7 linked regions of the Macaca fascicularis genome follow. The protein of the gene in region 7 interacts with the protein of the main gene of each other region in a pairwise test. Links are inferred from orthologs where the notes say so. Each region holds a gene or a part of one and is shown on either strand. Other genes may lie near its edges.

Region 1 (4,090 bases), on a different chromosome or scaffold from region 7:
AGGCAGTGCCTGGGAGGTCCCGCCATCCCGGCCCGGAGCCGTGCCAAGCCAAGCCCCCACCCAGAGCCACCGAGGGGGACTACCCAGCGTCCTTTGCAGGCCTCACTTGGAGGCCGAGTTCCTGTCCATGCTGAGGGAGAGGGGCAGGTGGTAGGCAGGAGAGTGTCCACTCAGTGCCCAGGCCAGTCCCACCCTTGTAGAGAAAGCTTGCCCCCAAATTCTGCCTTTCTGACTGGGGTTTGGGGGCTACAGATAGGCTCCCTCCCAAGGGTGGGCTGTAGCCCACCTGGTCCAGGAGAGACTGAGGTGGGGTTCCAGAGGCAGACGAATGCCCCTAGACTCATGAACTGCCTGCCCTCCTTTGGAGAAAGCTGGGGCCCAAGCTCAGTGGCCAGAGAAGCCTTGGGGACCCTCCAACCTTCACGGAGCAGGACCCCTGGTCCTGGACCTATTATGGGTCTTCATCTCTTCCTGGGAGAGTCCAGCTTGCCTGGCTCCCAAGGCCCTGGGCAGCCTCCAGCACCAGAGTCCCCCTCACCCCACACCCAGGCAGACAGACAGACACAGGCCACACACAGACGCACAGACACTCATCGGATTCCCCTCCCTCAGCACAGCTGGCCACACCCACACCATCCCCTGTACAGCCCTGGAGAGTCCCCCCAGCCCTGCGACTCCAGATCACGCCACCCTGACTGTGGTCTCTACCCTCACTTTGTCCCATCTGGACACTGGGCCGGGGCTGCCGCCTCCTCCCTGCCATGTGGAGGGAAAGGAGCACCCCAGGAGGCTCCCCACCCAGCCCTGGCTCACAGGACATGACGGCCGGACACCTGAGTCCCACAGCCCAGCCAAGAGGGTGGGTCACTGGCTGGCGCCAGGCAAGGCGGCTGCTGGTGGGTGTTGTAGGGGATGAGGAGGCGATGAGGTCATGCCGGACACTGCCTGCCACTATGTTTAGAGCAGCTCCAGTGACTCTGGGCTCTCAGGGGCGGCAGAGGACCAAGCAGAGCCCCCAGGGAACTGCAAATCTCTCCCAACATGTGAGGGCTGCTGCAGAGGACCCTGAGGACCTCTTTCCCAGGCCCCAGTGACCAGCCACTGCCCAGGCTGAGCCAGGCCCTGGTGACCCCAGACTCCATCCCTAAGGTTGTGAGTAGACGAAGCTTCTGCCAAGTGGCAGCCCTTTGGGGGTCTTCACACAGCTCCCCACCCCCCTGCACCTTCCTGCCAGCTGCCCAGGAGGCCCACCCACACAGACTTGGCCAAGCGTCCAGCCACCCACACTGAGATTGAAGGGGAACTAGCACCACCCAGCAGAGGCCTGTAAGCCCATCCATCCCTGTGGCCACAACTCTGCCTGCCTCCCCAGAAAAGCCAGAGGCCACACCTCCTGGTGCCCCAAGGGCCCCCCATTAGCCAGCACTGGTTCAGTGTCTGTGAACGAGGTGCTAGGCCCGTGGGGCAAACTGGAGTGAGGGGAGACCTGGAGGCCAGACTGGGAGATCCAGCCCCACATGCTGGGACGATGGGCGTCGAGACAGACTGTGATGTGGGGCTTTGGGGAGGGCTGGACACCGACCGCAACAGCCCTCGGTGGGGGTGCCCCTGTGGGGGGTGCTGGCCTCAGGGCAGGAGCGCCCCTGGGGACAGTTCAGGAACAGCCTCTGAGGAGCACTGCAAGGCCCACATAGGGCCCCCCCCATTCACATCACAGGCTGGATGTGGCCTAGCGAGGCTGGCAGGGACAGAGACCCAAGAACTGCTGGCCACACAGGCTCAAGGCCACCAAGATCTGTGGCCTCTACCCACGGGGCTCCCAGCACAGGGGTGGGTGGGGGGCAGTTGCGGAGCCTCCAGGCTATGAGGAGATGTGCTGTGAGGTGGGGGGATTCTGACCCTGCCTGGAGGGCTGCTGGGGACACCTGACACTCCTCCAGTAGAACCACGTATGGCAGTGGGAGGGGAGGACCTCCAGAGGGAGACCCTCAGCTCTGGAGGCCAGATCCCCTCCTGATGGGGTGGGAAGGGGACAGTGAAAATTCAGGAAGCTGGACGCTCCTCTGGAACCCGGCCCTCCCCAGGTCAGAGGGTCCAGGGAGGGGCCAGCGGGAAGGACCCAGGTCGGCCCTGCCTCTTGCTGCAGCGGTGGCCTGGGCTGGGCAGGGGAGCCGGACAGCCCCTGTGGGTCTCAGGCCCCTCCCCAAGGGCCCTGAGGTGGGCAGGGAGGAGGCCACAGCCTCTGCATCCCTGCTCCCCCTTCTCTTTGTGGGCTCTGTCCAGGGCCTCTGCTCTCTCCCTCCCTGTGTCAGCTTTGCCTTGTGGCAGCGTTGGTTTGGGCGTGAGGACAGAAACACGAAGACCACCTTGTCCCATAAAAGCATTCAAAGGCCCTGGTGCTGACAGGAACGTGGTGCATGGGCGCCCTTGGGTAGTCAGAGCGCCTCTCCAAAGCCGGGGGCTTTTCTGAGGGCGCTGCGCTCCAGGAAGGACTTACCGGCTGTTGGGAAGGCAGCCTCGCAAGAACTTGGTGTGCAAAAGGGCCCTCTCCTCCCCATGGAGCCTCCTAGGGGGGTGCGGGGAACGGCAACGAGCGGGACACTGCCGCCCTCCCCGTTACTGCCCGGGGGTCCGACTCCGTGGGTGGGTGGCAGCTCGCCTCTGAAAGTCTGGCAGCACCGGCCCACATCGGCAGCCCTTTCCTGCCCACCCGGGGGTCTCTCCTTCTGAGAGGTGGCGGGGGAGGTGGGGGGGCTGTGCGCGGGGGAGGCCTCCGCGAAATCCCGCCCGGCCAGAGAAGAAAGGGAGCCCCCGGGGAGGGGGCGGCCCCGACCCGCCCCGGCCCGCCCGCCCAGCCGCCGATTGGCCCCGAGCCGCTATATCTGGGCGCCCGTCCGGCCCGAGGCCACCGCCGTCCCCACCGCCGTCCGCCCTCCCGGCCTGGCCCGCCCTCGCGCCCGGCTCCGCAGTGCCCGCCGCCCGCCCGCCGCGCTCCCGCGCTCCGTTCCGCCCAGGCCGCGCCCAGCTGGAATGCAGAGATCGCCGCCCGGCTACGGCGCACAGGACGACCCGCCCGCCCGCCGCGACTGTGCATGGGCCCCGGGACACGGGGCCGCCGCTGACCCGCGCGGCCTCGCCGCCGCCCCCGCCGCCCTCGCCGCGCCCGCCGCGCCCGCCTCGCCGCCCAGCCCGCAGCGCAGTCCGCCGCGCAGCCCCGAGCCGGGGCGCTATGGCCTCAGCCCGGCCGGCCGCGGGGAACGCCAGGCGGCAGACGAGTCGCGCATCCGGCGGCCCATGAACGCCTTCATGGTGTGGGCGAAGGACGAGCGCAAGCGGCTGGCTCAGCAGAACCCGGACCTGCACAACGCGGTGCTCAGCAAGATGCTGGGTGAGCGGCGGGAGGGCGCCGGAAGGGGGAGCGGGCGGGGGGGCTCGGGCCGGAGGGGGCGGGGGGCGCGGGGCGCGGGGGTCCGGGGTCGCGGTGTACGGGGGGCTGCGCCGAACCCTCGCGGGGCGTCCCAGGCGCACGGAGGGCTCGGCGCCCACCCGCCCGACGGCGTTCCACTCACTGGCGCCCGCGGCCCGCAGGCAAAGCGTGGAAGGAGCTGAACGCAGCGGAGAAGCGGCCCTTCGTGGAGGAAGCCGAACGGCTGCGCGTGCAGCACCTGCGCGACCACCCCAACTACAAGTACCGGCCGCGCCGCAAGAAGCAGGCGCGCAAGGCCCGGCGGCTGGAGCCCGGCCTCCTGCTCCCCGGATTAGCGCCCCCGCAGCCACCGCCCGAGCCTTTCCCCGCGGCGCCTGGCTCGGCTCGCGCCTTCCGCGAGCTGCCCCCGCTGGGCGCCGAGTTCGACGGCCTGGGGCTGCCGACGCCCGAGCGCTCGCCTCTGGACGGCCTGGAGCCCGGCGAGGCTGCCTTCTTCCCACCGCCCGCGGCGCCCGAGGACTGCGCGCTGCGAGCCTTCCGCGCGCCCTACGCGCCCACCGAGTTGTCCCGGGACCCCGGCGGTTGCTACGGGGCTCCCCTGGCGGAGGCGCTCAGGACCGCGCCCCCGGTGGCGCCGCTCGCTGGCCTGTACTACGGCACCCT
Region 2 (4,140 bases), on a different chromosome or scaffold from region 7:
GCCACATGTTTGCTTGGCTGGAGGGGTCACGGATATTGGAGGAAATACAGTAATAACAACAACAACAGTATTAAGCAGTGCCATGCAGTGAGCACTTTCGATGAGCCAGGACTGCCTTAAGCACTCGACCTACTTAGACTATTTCATTTAATCCTCCATCATGGATTCTTCTACTAATATTGCTCTAGACTCGGGGTAAACTGAGGAGCAGGACAGACCAGGCCCTGGCCTTTGTGGAACTGCCCTTCCAGGCAGAGGAGACAGACAATAAACACAGAAGTCCTATCATTTCAGTTGCTGATGAGTGCTACGACAAAGTAATAAACAGAGAGCCTGGGACCTGCTTTGCAGAAGGCATCGGAGAAAGCTGCTCTGAGGAGCCTGAAGGACAAAAAGGATGGAATCATGCAACGCTCAACATATGGGGAATGGAGGGGAAGTGGGGGAGGGAACATCCCACTCAGAAAGAATAGCAAGTGCAAAGGCCCTGAGACGGGGGGAGAGGTGCTGTGACCCAGAAACTGCCAGGGAGAGGGAGGAGAGGGAAACGGGGTCCTAGCAAGACCGTTGATCAGAACTTGTGGACCATGGGGGATCTCGCTCTGTTGGCAAGGCTGGATCTAGAATGCCTAATTCTTGACTCTCCACCAGCTGCCATTCTGTGAGTCATCTGTGTATGTGCTGCAGGCACCTACTGTGTGCCAGGCACCGTGCTAGAGGAAAGGAAAGGGTGGCAAGTTCTCCCCAACCCACCCGCCTCTTGGGAATGGGTGTTGTGCTTAGTGAACTGGTTATTCGGGACTTTCCAGTGGGCAGTGGACTTATCATTTGTGTTCTTAGCAGCGTGATAGCAGCAGTGCCTAACTTCTCTGAGGAACTGTTGTTTGCCAGATGCTCTGTGCATCCCCACAGCCCCATGCAGTGGGGGCAACTGTTACCCCACCTTTGGTGAAGTGACAGATAAGACGGAGCGACACGCTCTGATTTATGCTTTCACAAAACGATGGCTTGAGCTGTACACACACACCTTACCCCATATAGCTCTGTGCAGTGTGCTTCACACACACACACACACACACACACACACGCACGACATCGTGCCTCCAAGGCCACACAACTCTCGGGGACAGAGCTACAGTTCAAGCCCAAGGTCTCTTCAGCCTTAACCTCGGCCACAAGCTGGCATCACGGAGAAGGAAGAGGCTGGCAAATGAGGAGGAGGGTGACTGCCGGGGGCACTTTGAGAACTTGGCCCCAGGCCTGAAATCCGGCCTCCAGATATTTTCTTGGCCTGAGCCCAGACCAGCCACCCTCCAGCCCTCCCAGGCAGCCTGCTGCCCAGTTGAATGAAGGAGTCCGCTCTCAGAGTTTCTGCCGTGGGAGAGCCCCGGACCTCAAGCGTCTTCAAAGGTCTATTATTAATGGGGCCATCCAGCTGAAGCTGACATCCCCAGCAGCCCTCCCAGAGCTCTGCACCTCAGCCAGCCCATGGCCTCCACTCTCTGGCCCTGTCTGCTGAGCGGTGCCCAGCAAGACGAGAAGGCCAAGTCCTGCCCGCTGGGCCAGCCAGAGGTCACCTGCCGCGCCTGAGCTACCGGTGTGCGGTGAGAGGACTGCTCTGCGTCTTCCCTCGGCTCCCAGCTGCCTCAGTTTCCCTTCCTGAGAAAGGCGGGGTTCTGGGAGGTGAGGAGCTGCAGGGACCCACGAAGGGCATGGAAGCCGCCTGGGGACACTGGCCCGTCTGTCAGGATCAATCGCCCTAAGCCTGTCTGAGGCGCTCCAGGCTTAGGAGCAGCTGTGAAAGCCGCCTTTGTGCCTGGGAGAATGAGCCGCAAGAGGACAGGGGGCCCTGGCCCCGGGAGCCCCTTGGGTCCTGGCTCCTGAGATCAACGCCATCAGGGAAGACCCCAGCCTGGCCCCTGCAGCCCACCCAGGCCTGGTGCCCACTTCGTGCCATGGGAGCAGCCCAGGGGAAGAAGGTAGGAACCCCCAAGTGTCCTGTTGGGGCCCTGGACATGGGAAGGGAGACTAGACCTAGCAAGTGGGAGCCCCAACCCACCTACCCTGAAGCTTCATTTGGCACTGCCCACCAGCCCTCCTCCTGGAACTCACAGCCAAGACTTGCATCTAGAAGGCAGGCTGGGGCTCAGGGAAAAACCAGTGCCCTATCTCTCCATCTCTAGGACAGACTTGGGGACAGCCAAATCTCTCTGGCTCCCTGGTCTTAACCACACACATCTCTACTTCCCTGAGTAAAAGCTCCCTGGGTACCCCTTCCCCATACCTCAGGAGACTGTCTGACACAGGTGGATACAGGGGAAAGATCTTAAAATTGTTATTATTATTATTATTATAAAGTTGACTAACCAGCTGTTACCAGTTGTAGGGCAATGGGCAAGTTATTTAAGCTTTCTGTACCTTATTTCCTCACCTGTAAAATAGGGCCACTAATAATCACTACCTTGGAAAATCATTGTGAAAATTAAGTGAGTGAAAGTGTTTAGAACACTGCCTGGCACTGTGTAGAGGCTTTGCTCCGTTATTATTAGAATTCTGTTCATGTTATTATCTCTCGCCTTCTAAGCCTGAGCTCTCAGCTAGAGGTTTGTAGACAGCACTGCCTTAGCAGTGTTTCTGGAAATGTGCTCTGTGGACCCCTGCATCAGCGTTGTGGTGTGGGGAATAGGAGGGAGCTTGTGAAACAGTCACTTTCTCAGGGCCAGTCAGACCTCCTGGGTCAGCCTCTTAGGGGCAAAGAGGGGAGGGGCCTGCACTTACTAGCTCTCAGGATTGTCCTACATGCTCACTGCTCTCCGCCCACAGCGACTCAGCACTGCCGTCCCAGTGGCATAGCCAGGCTGCCGGGTCCCAGCTCCACCACCCACCTACTGAGGCGATGACCTGAACCCCTCTGGACCTCAGCTTCTTGTTTGTAAAAGGGGGCTGGTACCTGCTTCGTGGGAGGTTCAACAAGATGATGCCTTTGAAGTGCTTTGTGTGCTACCCCACCCCCAGAGGCTCCCCAATAAACAGGGGACTCTGATCCTCAGGCAACCAGTGATGACCTGTTCCATCAAGGTTGAGAAACTCAAGGAAGAAGTAATTTCTTAGCCAGGGTCATGCAGCTAGTGGGGGAAAGAGCAGGGTGCTGTTGTTGTTGCTGTTGTTAATTTGGAAAGAGGAGCTTTATTTCTCATAAAGAGTTGCAGCCTGCAGGGTGGCCATTCTGACAGGCTGGGAAGCATGGCCTCTGGCCAGAATCCAGAAACTGACACTTTGAGGAAGAGGCAAAGGGAATAGAAATTTATGCTGAGCAGCATGGCCAAATATACATATTCAATAAGCTGTGGGAGGAGTCATGCATATTTATGAAAGGAGAAACATCTGCATGCACAGTTGAGCTCCATGCCTCTTATGGGCCCGAGATACAAAAAAATGTTGGCCTTAGTGTGATCAGAGGGTGGAGTTTTCAGCCCTCTGATGTCAAAGGTGAAGCAGGGGGCACAAAAACCCTCACTGTGCATCCTCTGCAGACTGGTTAGAACCGCTCCATGATCCGCGGTCTCTTATCAAGAAAAAATGCTGGTTGGTTTTTGTGTTAAAACCACAAAAGGGAGGCGCAGTTGGTTGAAATCAGTATGGAGTCTTTTGAAAAGGCCGGTTTCTGTTTAGCTCTTAGGGAAGAAAGTCTAATGGAGGTTATCAAGGGATGGGGCACTACGGGGCGCGTGCAACCTCCCATCCCGTCATGGCCAGAAACTTGGTTTTCAAGATTTCTCTGGGGTCTCCTTGGCCAAGAGGGGGTCCGTTCAGTCACTTGCCGGGTAGGGGGGTGTTTAAAGTTTTATTTTTATTTCTTATTTTTATTGGGTAGGATTTTGACCCCGTTCTGCTTGATTCCAAACAACCCAGCCCATCCCACCCTTCCTGGTCCATAGCTCTGTCCACGGCATCTTCCTCAGCCCCACCCCAACCTCCCACAGAAGGCTGTTGGTCAGGCACCTGCTGCCCTGTGCCAGGGCCTGTGTGGAGCTGGAGCCAAGGGTGAGGAGACACAGCCCCTGCCCTTGAGGCCATCCCTGTCAGTTGTGGAGACTGATAGGCAGGTAAAAAATAGTTGGGAGTGTGTGTGACAGTTGA
Region 3 (3,017 bases), on a different chromosome or scaffold from region 7:
TGGTCTGTCACAGAAACTGAAATTCTTATATTATTCTTCCCGTTGGATTAGAAGCTATGCATTAATTAATATGCAAATAATAATTAGAAGACTGTATCATCATCTACTAATTATGAATAAGTAATAAATTAGTATATTAGCTTGTGCTCACTTAGTCCTAAAGGAACAGTGCATAAGGCAAGTACATGTGTTCTGATCAGAATACTAATACACTAATTAATGAGTAATCTAATTATAACTTGGACCAGAAATACTGTTGTCAGTAAAGGGAGTACAGATTTTGGTAGGGTAAGAAGGAAGTACCAAGACTGGGAAAACCTGAGGACACTGGGGTAGTGTGGCCATGCACTGTCAATGGAGGAGAGGAAAGAGAAAGAAATACTGAAAACATATTTTTCGTTCCTTCTCTTGTTCTCACATGCTGTGGAGAAATCAAAGGACTGTATCTAAATTAGAGAGGTTATAGGTAGTCTCTAGCGAACTGAGGGGCAACTGAGTAATCATCTGGATGAAACTACTTACTGGGAAAGGTGACAAAAGCCTGGCCCCTCATTCGTCCAGTCATCATTCGGAATTGAATTGGAGGTCCTTTTTTCTCCTGGAACCGAGCGAACAATGACACAAGATCTCTTTCAGTCACCCGAGGGCTAAGGTTCTTCAGGTATAACACCTAAAACAAATTGAGAATCAACCAAAATATCATAAAAAGGAGGTAAGGCAATTCTTTTTTTTTTTTTCTTTTTGAGACAAAGTCTCACTCTGTCACCTAGGTTGGAGTGCAGTGGCGCAATCTCGGCTCACTGCAATCTTGGTCTCTTGGGTTCAAGCAATTCTCATGCCTCAACCTCCCCAGTAGCTGTGATTAGTCATACCTGGCTAATTTTTGTATTTTTAGTTGAGATGGGGTTTTACCATGTTGTCCAGGCTAGTCTCGAACTCCCAACCTCAGGTGATCCACACGCCTTGGCCTCCCAAAGTGCTGGGATTACAGGCGTGAGACACCATGCCCAGCCGTAAGGCAATTCTTTCATTATGATTACAATTAGTTTCACATAAAAATGGTGGATTGAACACATTCATTTAATTTCATTCCATCCAGAAAACTCTCTATAACTATGGGCACTTAAAAAAAAAACAAAAAACACAAACTAACAAGGTCAGGAGGAACAAGAAAAGGAGACAACAGCAATAATAATCTGGAAGATGAAAAATAATTGGATGAGCAGGAACCAACTCAGCACACTGAAGAAAGTTGAATTTTAAACTGGTAGTGGAGAAAGCCAAGAACACACCTGTCACCACTTAAGAATCCTTAAATAGTTCAGGAACTGATAATTTCACTTACTTTCAGAAATAAATGTGAAGGGATGGGGTTAAAATAAGGCAGGTCAGTTGAAAGCTGTCTAAAAGCCAATATGATTTTTAAATACCCTCCCTCACAACATGCTATGGGGTAAAAGATAACTTGCCGATTCTGGTAGAATACTTGAGGCTCATTGTCAGAAGATGGGGAATGCCATACATGGCTGAAGATGTGAACCCTGTTTCTGAAAGCAAGGAGACTAAGAGAACGAATGCATACTAAATGTTGAGGTCCTCCCAGACCTCTTCTGCCATTTGGCTCCTAGAATGCTGGTAGTACCCTCATAAGAAAGATTTTGGAACAGTCTTCTCTGGGAAAACTGGTAAGTCCTAGGAGGAAAGATATAAAAACACGGACTTGGGATAAGGAATTTATCTAACAAATGGTCCAGCCAGACCACTTTAAAGTGAAGCTCAAAGTCAACAAGTACCACTTGTGTGCTCAGAGATTCCAATCTGCTTTTTAGTTCCTACTTATAAAGTTGGGCATCGATTATCAGGCATCTTAGGAAATCCTCTAATGTGAAAGAGAGAACACAACAAACAAAGAAAAGAAAGCAAATAGGAAAAAACTTCAACAAACCATAACTAATATCCTCAGAAAAATAAGAGAAATTATTCTACCTATTAGGCATGGGAGGGTGGGTGCGGTGGCTTACCCCTGTAATCCCAGTGCTTTGGGAGGCTGAGGTGAGAGAATCGCTTGAGTCCAGGAGTTTGAAATCAGTCTGGGCAACACAGTGAGACACTGTCTTTACAAAAGAGACAGAGTGGCATGTGCTACTTGTGAGCAAACAGCATACACCACCACACCTGGCCAATTTTACAAGTCCCAGCTATTTGGGAGGCTGAGGCAGGAGGATTACTGGAGCTCAGGAGTTTGAGGCTGTAGTGAACTACGATCACACCACACCACCACACTCCAGCCTGGGCAACAGAGTGAGACCCTGTCTCAAAAAACAACAACAACAACAACAACAAAACAAACAAAAAAACAATTCAAGAGAACAAAAATGAGCTCTTATATGTGATTGAACTTAAGATGTTATCAGCTTAAAACAAATTGTTTTACCATGACCTATACCTATAAAAGACATACAGAGGAAAATGGGAAAGATATAAAAGTATATCACTACAAAAAAAACCCCAATGAACCATAAAGGAAGACAGCTGAGAGGGAGAGACAAAAGAGGTACAAGAGAGACAGAAAACAATTAACAAATGGCAATAGTAAGTCCTTTGCTAGCAATAATTACATTAAATATTAATAAACTCCCCAAAAGACAGAGTACCTGAATGGATAAACAAAATCCAACTATAAACTATATGCTAGCTATTCTATAAGGCCAGGATTACCCTGAGACCAACCTAGACAAAAACATTATAAGAAAAATACAGACCAATATCCTTAATAAACAGATGTAAAAATCCTCAACAAAATATTACCAAACCAAATTCAACAGCACATTAAAAAGATCATACACAATGACCAAGGGGGATTTATCCCTGGGATGCAAGGATGATTCAACACACAAAAATTGATCAATGTAATTCAACACATTAACAGAACAAAATATAAAAATTACACGATCTCAATAGATGCAGACAAAGCATTTGACAAAATTCAACACTGTTTCATGATGAAGACACTCAAC
Region 4 (3,975 bases), on a different chromosome or scaffold from region 7:
ACACTTTACTAGATTCAGGCTGACAGAGAGAGTCACAGCAATGTAAAGGCCGCAGAGGTTACGAAATTATTTTTCCTGTTAATACTGTCAGGTATAAGGAAATAGAATCTGGAGTAGAGACAGCATTTCATGACTACTGACCAAAACTCTTCAGCTTCTTTGACTATAGGAGGTCTTTCTTTTTTTTTCAGACAGTTTTTTTTTTTTTTAACCAAACGTCATCCAATCAAGTTTGTGGCTTGTGACCAGGATTTTTTCAAAGGACAAGAAGAGAAAATAGACTGTATCAAACAATACACCAAGTAAGGATAGGTTTTGTTTTAGAAAACTGTTTTCAGTTACGTGTTTGTATGTAAGTGTATCTTGAATTGCTATGTAAAAACGTGAGCTTTCTTAGTCTGTGGATTACAGTAAACCAATAGTGTGAAAGCCATTGTTCTGGGAGACAGGCCTATTAATCAGGCCTGTCCTACGCTTATAAAGGGGGCTGGTGTTTATCTGAATGGAAGCAAACATGGCTGCTAAACTAGCAATGAAGGATTTAAACTATTTGTTTTGGGGAAAAAATTTACATATATGTGTGTGTGTACATGTGTGTGTTACACTCAAGTAAGAATCTCTCAATCAGCTAGGAAGATACAACTTCCCATATAAAATTAGAAATAGGAAGGGGAAAAGGAAGAAAGGGAGGAAAGAAAGAAAAGTGTAATAAAAAAATTGAGGAATCTGTTAAACTTGAGGAACTCTTAGGATGTACATTTCTACCTAAAAAAAGTTCAGAAGACAGACGAAAAAGGGCAGAGAAGTACTTATTCCCAAGTGGAGAATATCTTCTTGATGAAACTGAAGTGGGTCCTGAGTAGCAGGGCCTGCTGTCAGGGGCTTGAATAGGTCTTCTGACTAATAGGAATGATAACTAACATCTATTAAATGCCACTTTATAATTTCCAGCTGATTTAAACTTCACAACTTTATGAGGTAGGCCCTAACATTTCTCCTGCAAAGGGGCTGGGGGTGGCACAGGCAGTTGCATGGGTGGGCAGGGAGAGCAGGTTAAATTCCAGAAACATTTAAAACAGTTGTCAGAGGCTGGGCACGTGGCTCACGCCTGTAATCCCAGCACTTTGGGAGGCCGAGGTGGGTGGATCACGAGGTCAGGAGATTGAGACCATCCTGGCCAACATGGTGAAACCCTGTCTCTACTAAAATACAAAAAATTAGCTGGGTCTGGTGGTGCACACCTGTAGGCCCAGCTACTCAGTACGCTGAGGCAGGGGAATCACTTGAACCTGGGAGGCAGAGGTTGCAGTGAGCCGAGATCACACCACTGCACTCCAGCCTGGTGACAGAGCAAGACTCCGTCCAAAACAAACAAATAAACTAAAAAAAAAAAAAAAAAAAACGAACAGTTGTCAGAAAACATTCCTAGTCATGGGTATTAGAGTATGGAACTTTTCCCCCTAAGGTCCTAGTATCTAGCAATTCTAATCAGTATATAGACCAGTCCAAAATGGACAAGTAATCAAATTACTTACATTTTTCTTTGTCAAAACCAACATAACAGATATTTTGCTTTTTATTCTGGGAATGGCAAGTTAGTAGACATGTCATCCTTATGTGATTTTAGTCCTGCATTTTTTTGGCATTATTAAATGTAATAATTCACATTGAATTAATATTAATACTAATGATAAATCAAATCTGATGACAGTAGGATTTTTAAATTGTATTAAAATTAGCAGGTCTTCTCATTTCAGTCTCTTTGCTTCAGCAGTATGTGATAAGAATTTTGACTAAAGACCTTTCTCTCTATGCTTTATATATTCTTGGTAAATTATGATTTCCACTAATCTTATTCCCTGTGGATAGGTAATTCTTTTTCAAGGCTGATGTATAACTACTTTTTTAAAGAGATGTAGAATGACCAAACCGAATAACTTCATTACTTTTCAAAAAAGCAACATTGATCTCACTTTTCAATGTTTTAAGTGCACCACACAAGGCAAATACTTCCCAGTGAGAAAAAGAAGACAAGGTGCAGTTTTTCAGAAAATGCTATTACATAGGCTTAGTCTGATGTGAGTCTTCCTCGGAAGCACCAAAGTCCTGAGGTTCAAACAAATCAGGAGAAATAATTTTGCGTTTCTGGACCAGGGCACAATTCTGCTTTAATCACTGCGCTGGCATTAGTGGGACTTTTACTATTATTTTTAAATGTTAAACCATTTTACTGCCCTATTCCTAAAGCCTTTAGCCAAACATTGTAAGGGCAGCCTGGACTCAAAGTTGGGGAGTGAGGTTGGATCAAAGTTCAACATCGAACTAAGTTAAGACCTTTGGATTAGAAAGTCGACCTGCAAAGCCAAAGTTGCAAGTAAGCAGGAGGACTCTGCATGAAGGAACAGGTCAAGGCCAACTCCCTGAGTGCTGATCTGTCTCAGCCTCAGTTTCTTTATCAGCAAAACGGGGACGAGAGTTCTCTACGAAGATTAACCAAGCTAATCTAGGTTAAAAAAAAAAAAAGAAAGAAAGAAAAGAAAAGAAAGAAAAAGAAAAAAAAGGGCTCCTGGCATGTACCAGTTGCTCAACTCGGAGTGTCCTTCTCGGTTTAAACCAGCGGGGGAGAGTCAAGGCCTCCGGAGCCGGAGGGCGGGTAAGGCCCGCACGGTCCCCGGGCTGGAGGCGACCGAGCACGTTACCTGATCGCGTTGACCGGCGGGTTTCGGAGGCGGATCAGCGCCAAGGCGTTGTGCAGCCGCGTATACTCGGCCATGTTTCTTCTATTACCGAGGGCACCTCTGCCTCTCGCCGCCAGGCAAAGCCACTTTTCCGGGCGCGCCCGGCCGCCCCCAGAGGAGGGACGCCGACTGGGCCAATGCGAGCCGGGGCGCCGCCTCCCGCCGCGCCTCTTCCCACCCAGCCCTCCTCTACAGAGACCCCACCCCGCGCTCTCCAGACGCTTGTCGCTTTCTCTTGATTGACTCCCAAGCTGCTCCCACCACAAGGTACAGCAAGGAGAATGATGGAAACAGGTGTAATTGCCGGCAAGTGGAAGTTTGCAACCCCTTGGCCCATAGGGGCTGGCTACTGAGGACAAGTTCTGAGTTCGCTGAGTCGGGCAAGCTGTCCGCATCGCGGTATTCATCTTCATGATCTTTCTGAACCAGGGACAGATACCTGGGGCCCTGACAGTTATGTGATATTGATACACATCTGGAACACATAAAATACACATTGTTCATTTCACCTAAATGAGTAGGGTACTAATGAAACAGCCTTTGCAAAAATTCTAACACTGAGAAAATTATGGCAGTGAAAGAGATCTGATTTAACCAACTCCATCTTGCCTTTAGCTGCCCTTAATTATTCCTGAGCTCAGGCCAAGTTAACTTCGGGAGACATTTAGTTTATAGTTTAAATGATAATAGCTATTCCCCAAAACTCGACTGCCTTTGTAAAGCTAACTGAGAGACCACCAGGCTAGGAGGATAGAGGAGTGTGAATTCTGTCTGCTAAGGTGTAGACAGAGACCATTGCCAGCAATTACTCCGGAGGCCACCAAACAGACAACCCCCATTTACTCCTGCAGATAACATCGCTATTGTAGAACCTAAGTTTGGCCTTTTGAGGCATTTTTTCAGGATTTTTGCATGCCTGACACTGATGGCTCCACCTGGACCAGTCCACCTCTCCTGTGGCCCCACCCATAAGCAACTCAGCACAAGAGGATAACTTCAACCCCCTATGATTTCATTTCCAACCCAGTCAGCACTTTCCATACTCTAGCCCCTGCCCACCAAACTACCTTTGAAAAACCCCTAACCTACTAGCCTTCGATGAGATTGATTTGAGTAATAACTCCATCTCCCATGTGGCGTGGCCAGCCTCACATCAATTAAATTCTTTCCTTATTGCAATACTGTAGACTTCCTGAATTGATTTTGTTTGTGCAGCAGGCAGGAAGAACTCATCCAG
Region 5 (3,500 bases), on a different chromosome or scaffold from region 7:
TCCCAGTGACTTGCATTTATTGAGCAGGGCCAGGGATGCTGAATGTCCTATGTAGGGGACAGTACCACGTAATGGCCAAACATCTGTAGTATCCTCATTGAAATGAAACTTAGTGGTTTTTTATATTTTCGTGATGATAATATTCATTACCAGAATTTATTAACTTCTTTCCAAAATTATGTATAGAAAATGCATATGCAAAACTGTCTATATTTGTTACGTTTGCACAGAAAAATGAGAACCCTAAGGGGATAGAAGGAGGAGGAAACATTGGCACATAATTTGGATTAGGATAGTAATTGATTTCAAAGATTGTTGCATGAACAGCATTGACTACCAGAAACAAAGATGAAAACAATCTTTAGATTTCTGGTTTTATAATATTTACTATGTGCAAAAGTCATAGAAATCATAATATGTTATTTCAGAAACACTTCTGAAATTTATTGGGCACATTTAAGCATAAATTTAAGCATATTCAAATTCTGTGCTGGATGTTTAAGATAAAAAGCCCTCCTAGAACTTAGAGTTTAGTCAGGGAGCAATCAAGACACGGTAGAAAGTTCTACGGCCTGTGTAAGTAGTGTGCCAGAACAACAAAGAGGAGGTGTACTAGGCAGGGCAGGGATTATGGTCAGCAGGGTGGGGTGGGGGGTCTGCTGTCAGAAAAGAATGAGCAAGTGTTAGGGAGATGAAGGGGAAGTTGGGGAGAAGTTACCAAGTTGTTTTCTAGAGCTAGCTTGCTAAAAGTATAAACTGGAAATAATAATTTCCTCTCTTTTTACATTAATTACGTCTATGTCTAACAGAAACAATAATAAATTCCTATTTATTTCTTGAAAAATTGAGCATATTGGCCGGGCGCGGTGGCTCAAGCCTGTAATTCCAGCACTTTGGGAGGCCGAGACGGACGGATCACAAGGTCAGGAGATCGAGACCATCCTGGCTAACACGGTGAAACCCCGTCTCTACTAAAAAATACAAAAAACTAGCCGGGCGAGGTGGCGGGCGTCTGTAGTCCCAGCTACTCGGGAGGCTGAGGCAGGAGAATGGCGTGCACCCGGGAGGCGGAGCTTGCAATGAGCTGAGATCCGGCCACTGCACTCCAGTCTGGGCGACAAAGCGAGACTCTGTCTCAACAAAAAAACAAAAAAAAAAAAGAAAAATTGAGCATATTTAAGTACTCTGGAGCATTGGTTTTTTCTTTTTTTTTTTTTTTTTTTTTTTTCCTTCTCTCTCTCTCTTTCTCTCCCTCCCTGTCCTCCATCTCCTTCTTCTCTTCTCCCTGCTTCTGTCTCTCTCTCATGCTCTCAAACAGCTAATTCTAGGGGCTTCCAAGGAGTGCAGAAGAGCCATCAGAGTCACCTGGGAGGCTTTTTAAACTATACAAGCTTCCAATTCTCCCTTCTCTGGGTACTCCCATTGTTGCAAATAACTATGATAGCACACTTCTGTTACTGTGTAACGGTAACCTCACAAGTTTTTCTGAAGACAGAAAAAAGTATGGTGGTCTAATTGGCAAACATTCTTTAGAAACTTACCTCCTAGTTTATTATCTTCCTCTTACCAATTTCCAGCTGTCTTAATTATGTAGCTGTGCTCAGATCTCTTTCACACCCCCCAAAAAAAGTTGTCAGGGTTGGTATCTGCTTTGTTGGCATGGCTTGGCTAGTGGTTTACTACGGTACCATCTTTCCTTCTTTCCCTGTTGCTAGTGATCCACTAATGATATCCAGCTAGAGTACCGTTTTTTGTTTGTTTGTTTGTTTTTTCCTTTCTAGGTATCCCTGCTGGAGTACCGAAAACGGAAACAAGAAGCTAAGGAAAATTCTGCTGGTGGGGGAGGTGACTCTGCCCAGAGCAAAAGCAAGTCTGCAGGAGCTGGGCAAGGCAGCAGTAACTCCGTTTCTGACACTGGTGCCCATGGTGTGCAGGGATCCTCAGCCCGAACCCCATCTTCCCCTCACAAAAAATTCTCCCCATCTCATTCCTCTATGTCCCATTTGGAGGCGGTAAGCCCATCAGATTCCAGAGGCACTTCTTCATCTCACTGCAGACCTCAAGAGAATATCAGCAGTAGGTGGTAAGTTTATATCTGATGTTTTATAGTTAAATTGGGAATGGGGGGAGTATATATCTAGGATCATTCCCAGTTTTACCTAAAATCTATGGGAACACTTGATGGGAACATCTGAGACAGCCAGCCAACAGTACCATCTGTCCTGTTCAGCTGATTTAATAGTGTCAGCTGCAACCCCCCAGCTTTGCAGAATTAAGAGTTACCAACATGCCTGTGGAGCAGCGCTTTGGATGACATGTAGTTATGGATGCAGATGAGCTCTTTTATTTGGTGGGCACTAACACTGCCTCTTCTATTTCTCATTTCACATGAAAGGGGAGTCAAGAATCCAGCCAAGTTCCACATGAATTAACAACAAATGTCTCTCTTCCACACAGTTAGCATATACAGAGCAAAAAGACATTCTGAAAGGACTTGTCTGGTTTAGGGGAGACCGCAAATTTAAAAATGAATAATACTGGTGGCAAATACTGAGGATCAAATGTGTGAAATAGAGAATGAAGCACAGGAGTTCAGGGATCTTGAACTGAAAAAATAAGTCTGAGAAAGAAGAGTCCTGGCTCATATGTTTAATGTTCATTAATCTATGAAACCTTTATTAAACCACTACTATGTATCAGGCATATGATTTCCCAAAGGAGAAATTTTAACATTTTTAAATAGGGGTTGGGGGAAGTTGACATCTTTAATCCACTTTTTCCTTGATTTCTTTTTCTTTAAAAGTGATTGTTGTTGTTGTTGTTGTTAAAAGTGGTTGTTGTGGTGGTGGTGGTTGTTGTTAAAAGTGGTGGTGGTGGTGGTTAAAAGTGGTTGTTGATGATGATGATGATGATGTTTCTCTTTTGTGCCTGACATAGTTGGAGGCAGAGGAAATACCTTGTTTTAAATTGGTTCTGAAGAAAGTGTTAAGAGGATGTTTTAAGAAAATACACTGTGCACCTTGGTTAGGGCTTCATTTGTTTTGGTTAAGTCCTGTGGCTTGAACTTGCACCCTGTTGCCTTTACAGGATGGTTCCCACATCAGTAGAACGACTCCGAGAAGGAGGAAGTATCCCCAAGGTCCTCCGAAGCAGTGTGAGGGTGGCCCAAAAGGGAGAGCCCTCTCCCACGTGGGAGAGTAACATCACAGAGAAAGACTCAGGTGAGCCCATGGCCTTCTACTGCCACCACATTCAGGGACACATGAGCCAAGTCCTGTACAGTTCATGCCGAGTTCTGAGTTGAGGTGAGTCAGTTTCTGAAGCAGTTGGGCTCTGCCGTATGCTAGGTTCTAGCCCACTTGTGCTCATTTTGGCTACAACATTTGTAAGATCTAGCGTTGCTTGCTCTCTGTCTGCTCTTTTTTCCCCAAGGAATACCTTTCTGTAACTCTCATCTCTCCAAAGTCCTGGAAATCTACTTCGATGAAGGATGAAGAGAA
Region 6 (3,252 bases), on a different chromosome or scaffold from region 7:
TTGAGTTTGTGTGTCCCTGGCCCACATCCTCTGTAAGGTACAGAGAAGCCCATGAGCAAGATGGAGCACTTCTGGTGGCTCCAAGTCAGGGACACTATTCAGCATTCTGCAGTGCACAGGGCAGTTCCCCAACAGAGAATTACCTGGTCCTGAATGTCGGATCTGGTCCCTTCCTTCTCAACTGCATAGTGTGAAAACCTCTATGCTTTGGTTCGCTTGTCTGCAAAACAGGGGTAATCCCAGAACTGAGTTGTCCAGGTAAAGTGCTTAGAACAGGGAGTGCTTGGCTTGGGGAGTGTCACCTGCAGTCATTTATTATGCCCAGACAGGATGTTTCTTTATAGAAACGTGGAGGCCAGTTAGAAGGACTCACCGCTTCTCACCACTGCCCATGTTTTGGTGTGTGTTTCAGGTCCACTTCATCAACCCGGAAACGGTGCCCAAGCCCTGCTGTGCGCCCACACAGCTCAATGCCATCTCCGTCCTCTACTTCGATGACAGCTCCAACGTCATCCTGAAGAAATACAGAAACATGGTGGTTCGGGCCTGTGGCTGCCACTAGCCCCTCCGGGAATTCAGACCCTTTGGGGCCAAGTTTTTCTGGATCCTCCATTGCTCGCCTTGGCCAGGAACCAGCAGATCAACTGCCTTTTGTGAGACCTTTCCTTCCCTATCCCCAACTTTAAAGGTGCAAGAGTATTAGGAAACGTGAGCAGCATATGGCTTTTGATCAATTTTTCATCCAATGAACAAGATCCTACAAGCTGTACAGGCAAAACCTAGCAGGGAAAAAAAAAACACGCATAAAGAAAAATGGCCGGGCTAGGTCATTGGCTGGGAAGTCTCAGCCATGCACGGACTTGTTTCCAGAGGTAATTATGAGGGCCCGCCAGCCAGGCCACCCAGCCGTGGGAGGAAGGGGGCGTGGCAAGGGGTGGGCACATTGGTGTCTGTGCGAAAGGAAAATTGACCCGGAAGTTCCTGTAATAAATGTCACAATAAAACGAATGAATGAAAATGGTTAGGATGTTACAAATATATTTTCCTAAACAATTTATCCCCATTTCTCCGTTTATCCTGATGCATAAACAGAAGCTGTGTCATGTGGAGGGCGGGGAGGTCCCTCTCCATTCCCTACAGGTTTCATTCTGAGGCTTGCAGAGTTCCAGTGTTTACCAAGGTTTGCCCAAATCCAAGATCTAGTGGGAGGGGAAAGAGCAAATGTCTGCTCGGAGGAGGGTTGTGTGTTGACCTTTGGAGGTAAAATATGTTCTGTTGTTCAGCTGGATTTGCAGTGGCAGATATGAAACTAGGTGTGTGAAACACCCGCAGACATTTGGAATTGGCTTTTCAGCTCGCCCCAGTGGTAGTAAATCCATGTGAAATTGCAGAGGGTACAAGGACAGCAAGTAGGATGGAACTTGCAACTCGACCCTGTTGTTAAAAAGCACCAATGGGCCAGGCGCGGTGGCTCACGCCTGTAATCCCAGCACTTTGGGAGGCTGAGATGGGCGGATCATTTGAGGTCAGGAGTTTGAGACCAGCCTGGCCAACATGGTGAAAGCCCATCTCTACTAAAAATACAAAAATTAGCTGGGCATGGTGGCACGCGCCTGTAATCCCAGCTACTCTGGAGGCTGAGGCAGGAGAATCGCTTGAACCCAGGAGGCGGAGGTTGCAGTGAGCCGAGATCACCCCACTGCACTCCAGCTTGGGTGACAAAGCGAGACTCCATCTCAAAAGAAAAAAAAAAGGAAGCACCAATGAAGCCTAGTTCTCCACGGGAGTGGGGTGAGCAGGGGTACTGCACATCCTCCCAGTGGACCCTCTGGTCTTTGTCTGCAGCGGCATTCCAAGGCTGGGCCCTGGCAAGGGTACCCGTGGCTGTCTCTTCATTTGCAGACCCTGATCAGAAGTCTCTGCAAACAAATTTGCTCCTTGAAGTAAGGGGGAGATGGCATAATAGGAGGTCTGATGGGTGCAGGATGTGCTGGACTCACATTGCAAACAGAAGCCTTGTTGAGGGTAACATCCTAACCAAGTGTCCCGATTTGGAGGTGGCATTTCTGACATGGCTCTTGGTGTAAGCCCGCCTTGCCTTGGCTGGTGAGTCCCATAAATAGTATGCAGTCAGCCTACGGCCACAAACACAAGGCCTGGGGGAGGGCTACACTGTCTACAAACGTTTTCCGCATCTGTAAAGGAAGCAAGGTGATCCGAGACTGTGGCCATGTGGAACCCGGTCTTGTGGGGGACTGTTTCTCCATCTTGACTCAGACGGTTCCTGGAAACACCGGGGCTCTGTTTTTATTTTCCTTGATGTTTTTCTTCTTTAGTAGCTTGGGCTGCAGCCTCCACTCTCTAGTCACTGGGGAGGAGTATTTTTTGTTATGTTTGGTTTCATTTGCCTGCAGAGCTGGGGCTTTTTGTGTGATCTCTCTTGGTGCAGGTTTTCTCACCACTTACTGACCCAACCAGCCTCTGGTTAGCATCGTTTGTACATTTAAACCTGTAAATAGTTGTTACAAAGCAAAGAGATTATTTATTTCCATCCAAAGCTCTTTTGAACCCCCCACCCCTTAATCCCTCGTTCAGGATGGCGAGCTTGCTTTCCTTCAACCTGTTTGTTTTCTTATTTAAGACTATTTATTAATGGTTGGACCAATGTACTCATGGCTGTTGCGTCGAACAGTCTTTAGTGAAAATTCTGTATAAATAGACAAAATAAAAAGGGTTTGACTTTGCAATAAAAGGAGACGTTTGGTTCTGGTTCTTTGGCCTGTGTCTGTCTGTGTGTGTTGTGTTTTTCTCTCAGTTTCTGAACACTGAAGTTCTCTCACACTGCTGAGAGCTCCCTGCCTTCGCCTCCACCGTGAACACACTGTTTAGCATTCAGGCCTTGGGGGGAAGTGGGCGCTCGTCAATATTTGGTGCAGCTGTGTGGGGCTCTGGGCAGGAGAGATGGAACCAAACAACACATGTGAATTTGGTAGAGGCTCCACTACAAAGGTCCTTGATTGAATTACAGTGCAGCTGTCAGCAGCTGTTTCAAAGAGGCAGGGGGTAAATTAGCTGTGTTTACTGCTAACATAGTTGAAAGATTTAGTCATCCCAATAAAATAGAGGCAGCACAGAGAGAAAAAGGGCAGGAGGTGCACACCCAAAACTTTAAAGCAGTGCCGGCCCCGGAGCTGACACTGTCCAGTGCAAATGATTGGGGCAGTGGGGAGCAGCTGCTGGAGCGCGGCTGTG
Region 7 (4,023 bases):
TGGCATTCTTTCTTCCTTTGACCTGGCTTATATTATATTCACTTATTTAAACATGGAAGCCTATTTAATGCATACTCATCTAATTTCATACGAATTATAGCAAGTGAAATTTCAATGGGTCTCCTGAGATACTGGGTGCATCTTATTAAGAGAATCAGACTCTTCTAATTAAAAATGGTCATTTCTCTAGACAATCTCCTCTAGTCAAAGACTCCATTTCTTCACCAGTGTATCCATGGAAATCTGCAATTCACTTAAAGAGGACATTTTACTTTCATAACTCATTGAAAATATGTCACAGATTTTGGGACAGTCAACTTACAGACCATATCATGATGACATTCTCTTACCTCCTGCAAAAACTTTTCACTCATTTGACCGAAAGGATGTCCTGGGGGCTTGATTCCAGACACCATCAATCCGGAACTGAAGACCCTTGGCTTCTGCAGGTCTGGCTTGAATTTCTCATAGAGGTTGGCAGACGGCTTCAGGTCACCACTCACAGCCTTCTCTTCATGGGGAAGAGGCATGGTACATGTGGGCGGGGCATATGGAAGCCCCACTGGAAGCAGCGAGGCGTCCACCTGGCCCAGGGCCTGGGGACTCCTCCTGATGTAGGTGATGATCTTGGGCCTCACATGCTTGGGCTTGGGCATAATGACGGGCTTGGTTTCTGTCCTCTCCTCTGTTTTTTCAACCTGATGGTTCTCCGTTCCCTCCTGCGAGGAAGGTGTGTCCTTGGAATGTGTGAAGACAGGCTTGGGGATCCCACTGGGGCAGGCGTTCTTGTCAGGCACTTTGGGGGATGTGTTCGACAAGCGTGCACTATCAGCAGGGGGTGGTACCGCCAAGGGGGACACTGCATCCATACCGAACACGCTAACATCCTGAAAACGGCTACTGGGTGTTGTAGGCTGGTGGGTCATGTTCACAGTTGTCTCTGGGAGGAGGGGTGCTGGAATATTGAGAACTGAATCTACTCTTGCTGAGGTGCGTTCAATCTTATCAGCATTCTCTAGAAGGTTCCTGCTTTCAGCAACAGATGTGGTGATCTCTCTGCTTTCCCGTGCTTCTGAGCTGCCACTTTGAGGTTCCAGGGGCTCAGGCACCTCTGTCTGGCTCTCTCCAATGGAAGGATTGAACACCAGAACTGTAACACTGTCCTTGTCCACTGTGGGTTGCTCACTGCCCAACTGCCTTTCCTCCTCAATGACATCCAAGGGTTTGCTGTCAGTCAGATTAGTAGGAATAAAAGCCACATGACCATCACCTGGTGAAAAGCTGCCGGATGTCCTTTCACCCAACTTCCCACCTGCACATGGTGAAATGTTGCCAGTGGGCTGACTATCAGCCCCTCCTAAGGAAGCAGAGGCCTGTTTGGGGGTGGCGTGGAGAGAATCCGGCTTCCCTGGGTTGACTCCTCTCTTCTCTTCACTGTTGCCTCTTCCCACCCCAAGGTGGTGGAGGTCACTGTTTGGCAGAGAGCCAAGTGCATCGGTGGTTTCTGGGTGCGCCTCCCCACACAGATCCTTTCCCTCCAACGCTGAAAGATTCTCTTCCCTGTGGCATCCCAGATACCCTTCCTGGGCTGCCTTTCCCTCCTGTTCAACCCTCCTGGGTGAAACATATTTCAGCTCCAGCTTGGCCTCTGCCTTTCCCTGACCTAATTGTGCTTCTGGCTTACTCGGGATTTCCCTCGATGTCAAAGTCAGATTCAGAGCAGGCTCTGGATGGGCGGAACGTGGTATGTGCTCACTGCACGCCTGCAGTACATGTGCTCCCACTGTCTGGGTCTCTGAGGGGGTGCTCTGCTTGGTCTCTGAGGTAGATGGTTTAGGATGACGCACACTCTTTCCCTGTGAGGTACTGTCAGTTGGAGGGAACGCTGCCGGGAGAGCGCAGTCTGGCAACGTCTTCTGTGGCCCCTCCCCACCCCCAGGCACCTGACCCCGTGCTTCCTGGGAGTCAAGGGGTGCAGGCTGTGGATGCTGCGGAGTCAGGCTCCCGACTACAGCTACAGAGCTGCTTGCTCTTTCCAAAGAATGCCTCCTCAGTTCCTCATTGTTGAGGGTCTTTGCCAATTTATCCTTGGGAACGTGCCGGGGAATTTCAGCATCCCTTTTAGCCAAAACGTCTAGACTGGCCTCACCCATCACATTTCTCCAACTCGACAGACTCGGTCCCTGGATACTCCGCGGGGTCTGCGGGCTATCTGCGCCTCTCTCCATTGTGTGCTCCTCATTGAGTTCCCTCTGAATGGTTGAAGAAAGTCTAAAATCTTTCAGGCTGGTGGAGCCAGGCTGAGATCCCTTCTCAAAGCTCTGAAGTTGGTGAAATTCCTTATGGAAATGGGTACGGTTTTCTGGCTCACTTGAATTTGTATTTCCAATTTCATCTTCCAGGTCACATGTCTTGGACTCATCATGAGAGGAGCTGACCTCCAACATGATTTGATTGGCATTTGTATCTCCCAGACTTAGGATGCTCTCATTATTATTTCTTGCTGCATTTCTGTTGTCCCGCAGCTGAGTGTAACATGATTTCTTAGGAGCCACTGGGACGCTCATTGTCAACCCTTTGGTGGGGCTGCTTGCCATGCAGTCCTACTTAATGGAAATGGGCTGCCTTCAAGCTGCAATCAGATTAATAGGAAATTCTCAGGCTGCTTGTCCTCCCCTGACAATGTCAGCTTGTGACACTGCTTTAATCATTCTCAGAAGAGCTTGAAAAGCAAGCATTCTCTTGATATACAGCAGGAACTAGGTTCCGGCTGAATGAGAGCCAATTAGTCCGTGAAACCTAGAGAGAAATAAAAATACATTCACATTAGATGGACAAATAGAACTTCTCAGGAGGAAAAAAGTGGTAAACACAGATTTATTCGTCATTTCTATACTATTATTTCATTCACTCGATAGTTTTCTCAAAAACCTTTCTGATCAGGGCTCCTGCTGACCAAATACGGACAGAAATTAAACATCAGAATGTTTAATGTTAGAAATCGATTATAAATGCATGTGAAATCTTAAATCCAAATTTTAAACATCCACAAGTCTATACTGATACTGATTTAAAAGGGTGGAGGAGAAGTAAAGGCTCTTCTTTACAGAAGAGCATCAACGAATGTAGAAAAAAATTTACAGAATTTGAAAAATCACTATTTTGCAATCTCTGCATTAATAATTATCTTGCACAAGGGATGCCAAAGGTACAAACATTGGGTAAAAGATTGTTGGGGAACAAGATATTTATAGATGCTTAAAGTATCTTCCCCCCAGCTACTTTATTTCTTACAAAAAGAAAATTTGATCTTTACAATGGAGAGATCTGGTAGACACCACATTAACCACGTGATCAAATTTAACATCACTGGTATCGAAACTGACATGACGGACTCCTGATATTAGTTAGTTCTCAGGGCCACACATCACCTATGCAGTAATGTTCAACCAGAATTTAACCATGAGAAAATAACCTGGCGAATTTAAATTGAGGTATGTATTACAAAATAACTGGCCTAACTGGTCCCAAAAAAAAAGTCAGCAGAGGCTGGATTTTCAAAATATGTTAGCAAAGGATATTATTAGGACAATGAGAGATGTAAATATGGACTGTATATAAGGTACAGGTATGTCATAATTAATTTCCTTGGGTGTATAATCGTGCTATAATTATGCCAGAGATCATCTTTGTTCTTGAAATATCCATGCTTTAGAATTCAGGGGTAGTATGTCATGATTTCTCTAACTTATTCTCAAATGATTCAACCAAGAAAAACATGTGTATGTATGTGTGTGTGCATATGAGAAGGAGACATATGTGTGCAAAAGAGAGAAAGAAACTGGCAAAAGTCAACCATTTGAATATCTAATTAAGAATTCTACTACATCTGCAGCTTTTCTATAAGTTTGAAATTTTCCAAAATAAAAACTTGGGGGAAACGCTTCATTCCGGCCTTCGCGGCCTGCATGATCAGGCCCTGAACACCTTTCTGGCCTCATCCCCACCTCACCATCTGCTCTG

The links.
Region 1: the proteins of MTUS2 (region 7) and TCEA2 interact in binary tests that used the Homo sapiens proteins (3 or more experiments, as listed by UniProt). The link is inferred for Macaca fascicularis from reciprocal best matches to the Homo sapiens genes MTUS2 and TCEA2.
Region 2: the proteins of MTUS2 (region 7) and FAM107A interact in binary tests that used the Homo sapiens proteins (3 or more experiments, as listed by UniProt). The link is inferred for Macaca fascicularis from reciprocal best matches to the Homo sapiens genes MTUS2 and FAM107A.
Region 3: the proteins of MTUS2 (region 7) and RBM41 interact in binary tests that used the Homo sapiens proteins (3 or more experiments, as listed by UniProt). The link is inferred for Macaca fascicularis from reciprocal best matches to the Homo sapiens genes MTUS2 and RBM41.
Region 4: the proteins of MTUS2 (region 7) and EHHADH interact in binary tests that used the Homo sapiens proteins (3 or more experiments, as listed by UniProt). The link is inferred for Macaca fascicularis from reciprocal best matches to the Homo sapiens genes MTUS2 and EHHADH.
Region 5: the proteins of MTUS2 (region 7) and SETD5 interact in binary tests that used the Homo sapiens proteins (3 or more experiments, as listed by UniProt). The link is inferred for Macaca fascicularis from reciprocal best matches to the Homo sapiens genes MTUS2 and SETD5.
Region 6: the proteins of MTUS2 (region 7) and BMP7 interact in a two-hybrid assay, tested with the Homo sapiens proteins (3 studies listed by BioGRID and IntAct). The two-hybrid records come from large-scale screens. The link is inferred for Macaca fascicularis from reciprocal best matches to the Homo sapiens genes MTUS2 and BMP7.

What each region holds. Positions count from the first base shown.
Region 1 is NC_088384.1:120,189,258-120,193,347, reverse strand, and holds the start of TCEA2 (transcription elongation factor A protein 2), read right to left. Parts: upstream 2,801-4,090; 5' UTR 2,559-2,800; coding exon 2,498-2,558; intron 1-2,497. Other genes in the region: SOX18 (transcription factor SOX-18), read left to right, coding at 3,031-3,388, 3,589-4,090. UniProt on the Homo sapiens protein: Necessary for efficient RNA polymerase II transcription elongation past template-encoded arresting sites.
Region 2 is NC_088376.1:121,733,594-121,737,733, reverse strand, and holds the start of FAM107A (actin-associated protein FAM107A), read left to right. Parts: upstream 1-1,340; 5' UTR 1,341-1,955; coding exon 1,956-1,979; intron 1,980-4,140. UniProt on the Homo sapiens protein: Stress-inducible actin-binding protein that plays a role in synaptic and cognitive functions by modulating actin filamentous (F-actin) dynamics. Mediates polymerization of globular actin to F-actin. Also binds to, stabilizes and bundles F-actin.
Region 3 is NC_088395.1:113,661,362-113,664,378, forward strand, and holds part of RBM41 (RNA-binding protein 41), read right to left. Parts: intron 671-3,017; coding exon 523-670; intron 1-522. UniProt on the Homo sapiens protein: May bind RNA.
Region 4 is NC_088376.1:97,193,553-97,197,527, forward strand, and holds the start of EHHADH (peroxisomal bifunctional enzyme), read right to left. Parts: upstream 2,801-3,975; 5' UTR 2,774-2,800; coding exon 2,700-2,773; intron 1-2,699. UniProt on the Homo sapiens protein: Peroxisomal trifunctional enzyme possessing 2-enoyl-CoA hydratase, 3-hydroxyacyl-CoA dehydrogenase, and delta 3, delta 2-enoyl-CoA isomerase activities. Catalyzes two of the four reactions of the long chain fatty acids peroxisomal beta-oxidation pathway.
Region 5 is NC_088376.1:147,737,756-147,741,255, forward strand, and holds part of SETD5 (histone-lysine N-methyltransferase SETD5), read left to right. Parts: intron 1-1,781; coding exon 1,782-2,083; intron 2,084-3,087; coding exon 3,088-3,221; intron 3,222-3,500.
Region 6 is NC_088384.1:113,219,643-113,222,894, reverse strand, and holds the end of BMP7 (bone morphogenetic protein 7), read left to right. Parts: intron 1-412; coding exon 413-562; 3' UTR 563-2,752; downstream 2,753-3,252. UniProt on the Homo sapiens protein: Growth factor of the TGF-beta superfamily that plays important role in various biological processes, including embryogenesis, hematopoiesis, neurogenesis and skeletal morphogenesis.
Region 7 is NC_088391.1:8,910,803-8,914,825, reverse strand, and holds the start of MTUS2 (microtubule-associated tumor suppressor candidate 2), read right to left. Parts: upstream 2,801-4,023; 5' UTR 2,800-2,800; coding exon of another isoform or gene 2,704-2,799; 5' UTR 2,598-2,703; coding exon 351-2,597; intron 1-350. Other genes in the region: uncharacterized protein, read right to left, coding at 2,704-2,799. UniProt on the Homo sapiens protein: Binds microtubules. Together with MAPRE1 may target the microtubule depolymerase KIF2C to the plus-end of microtubules. May regulate the dynamics of microtubules at their growing distal tip.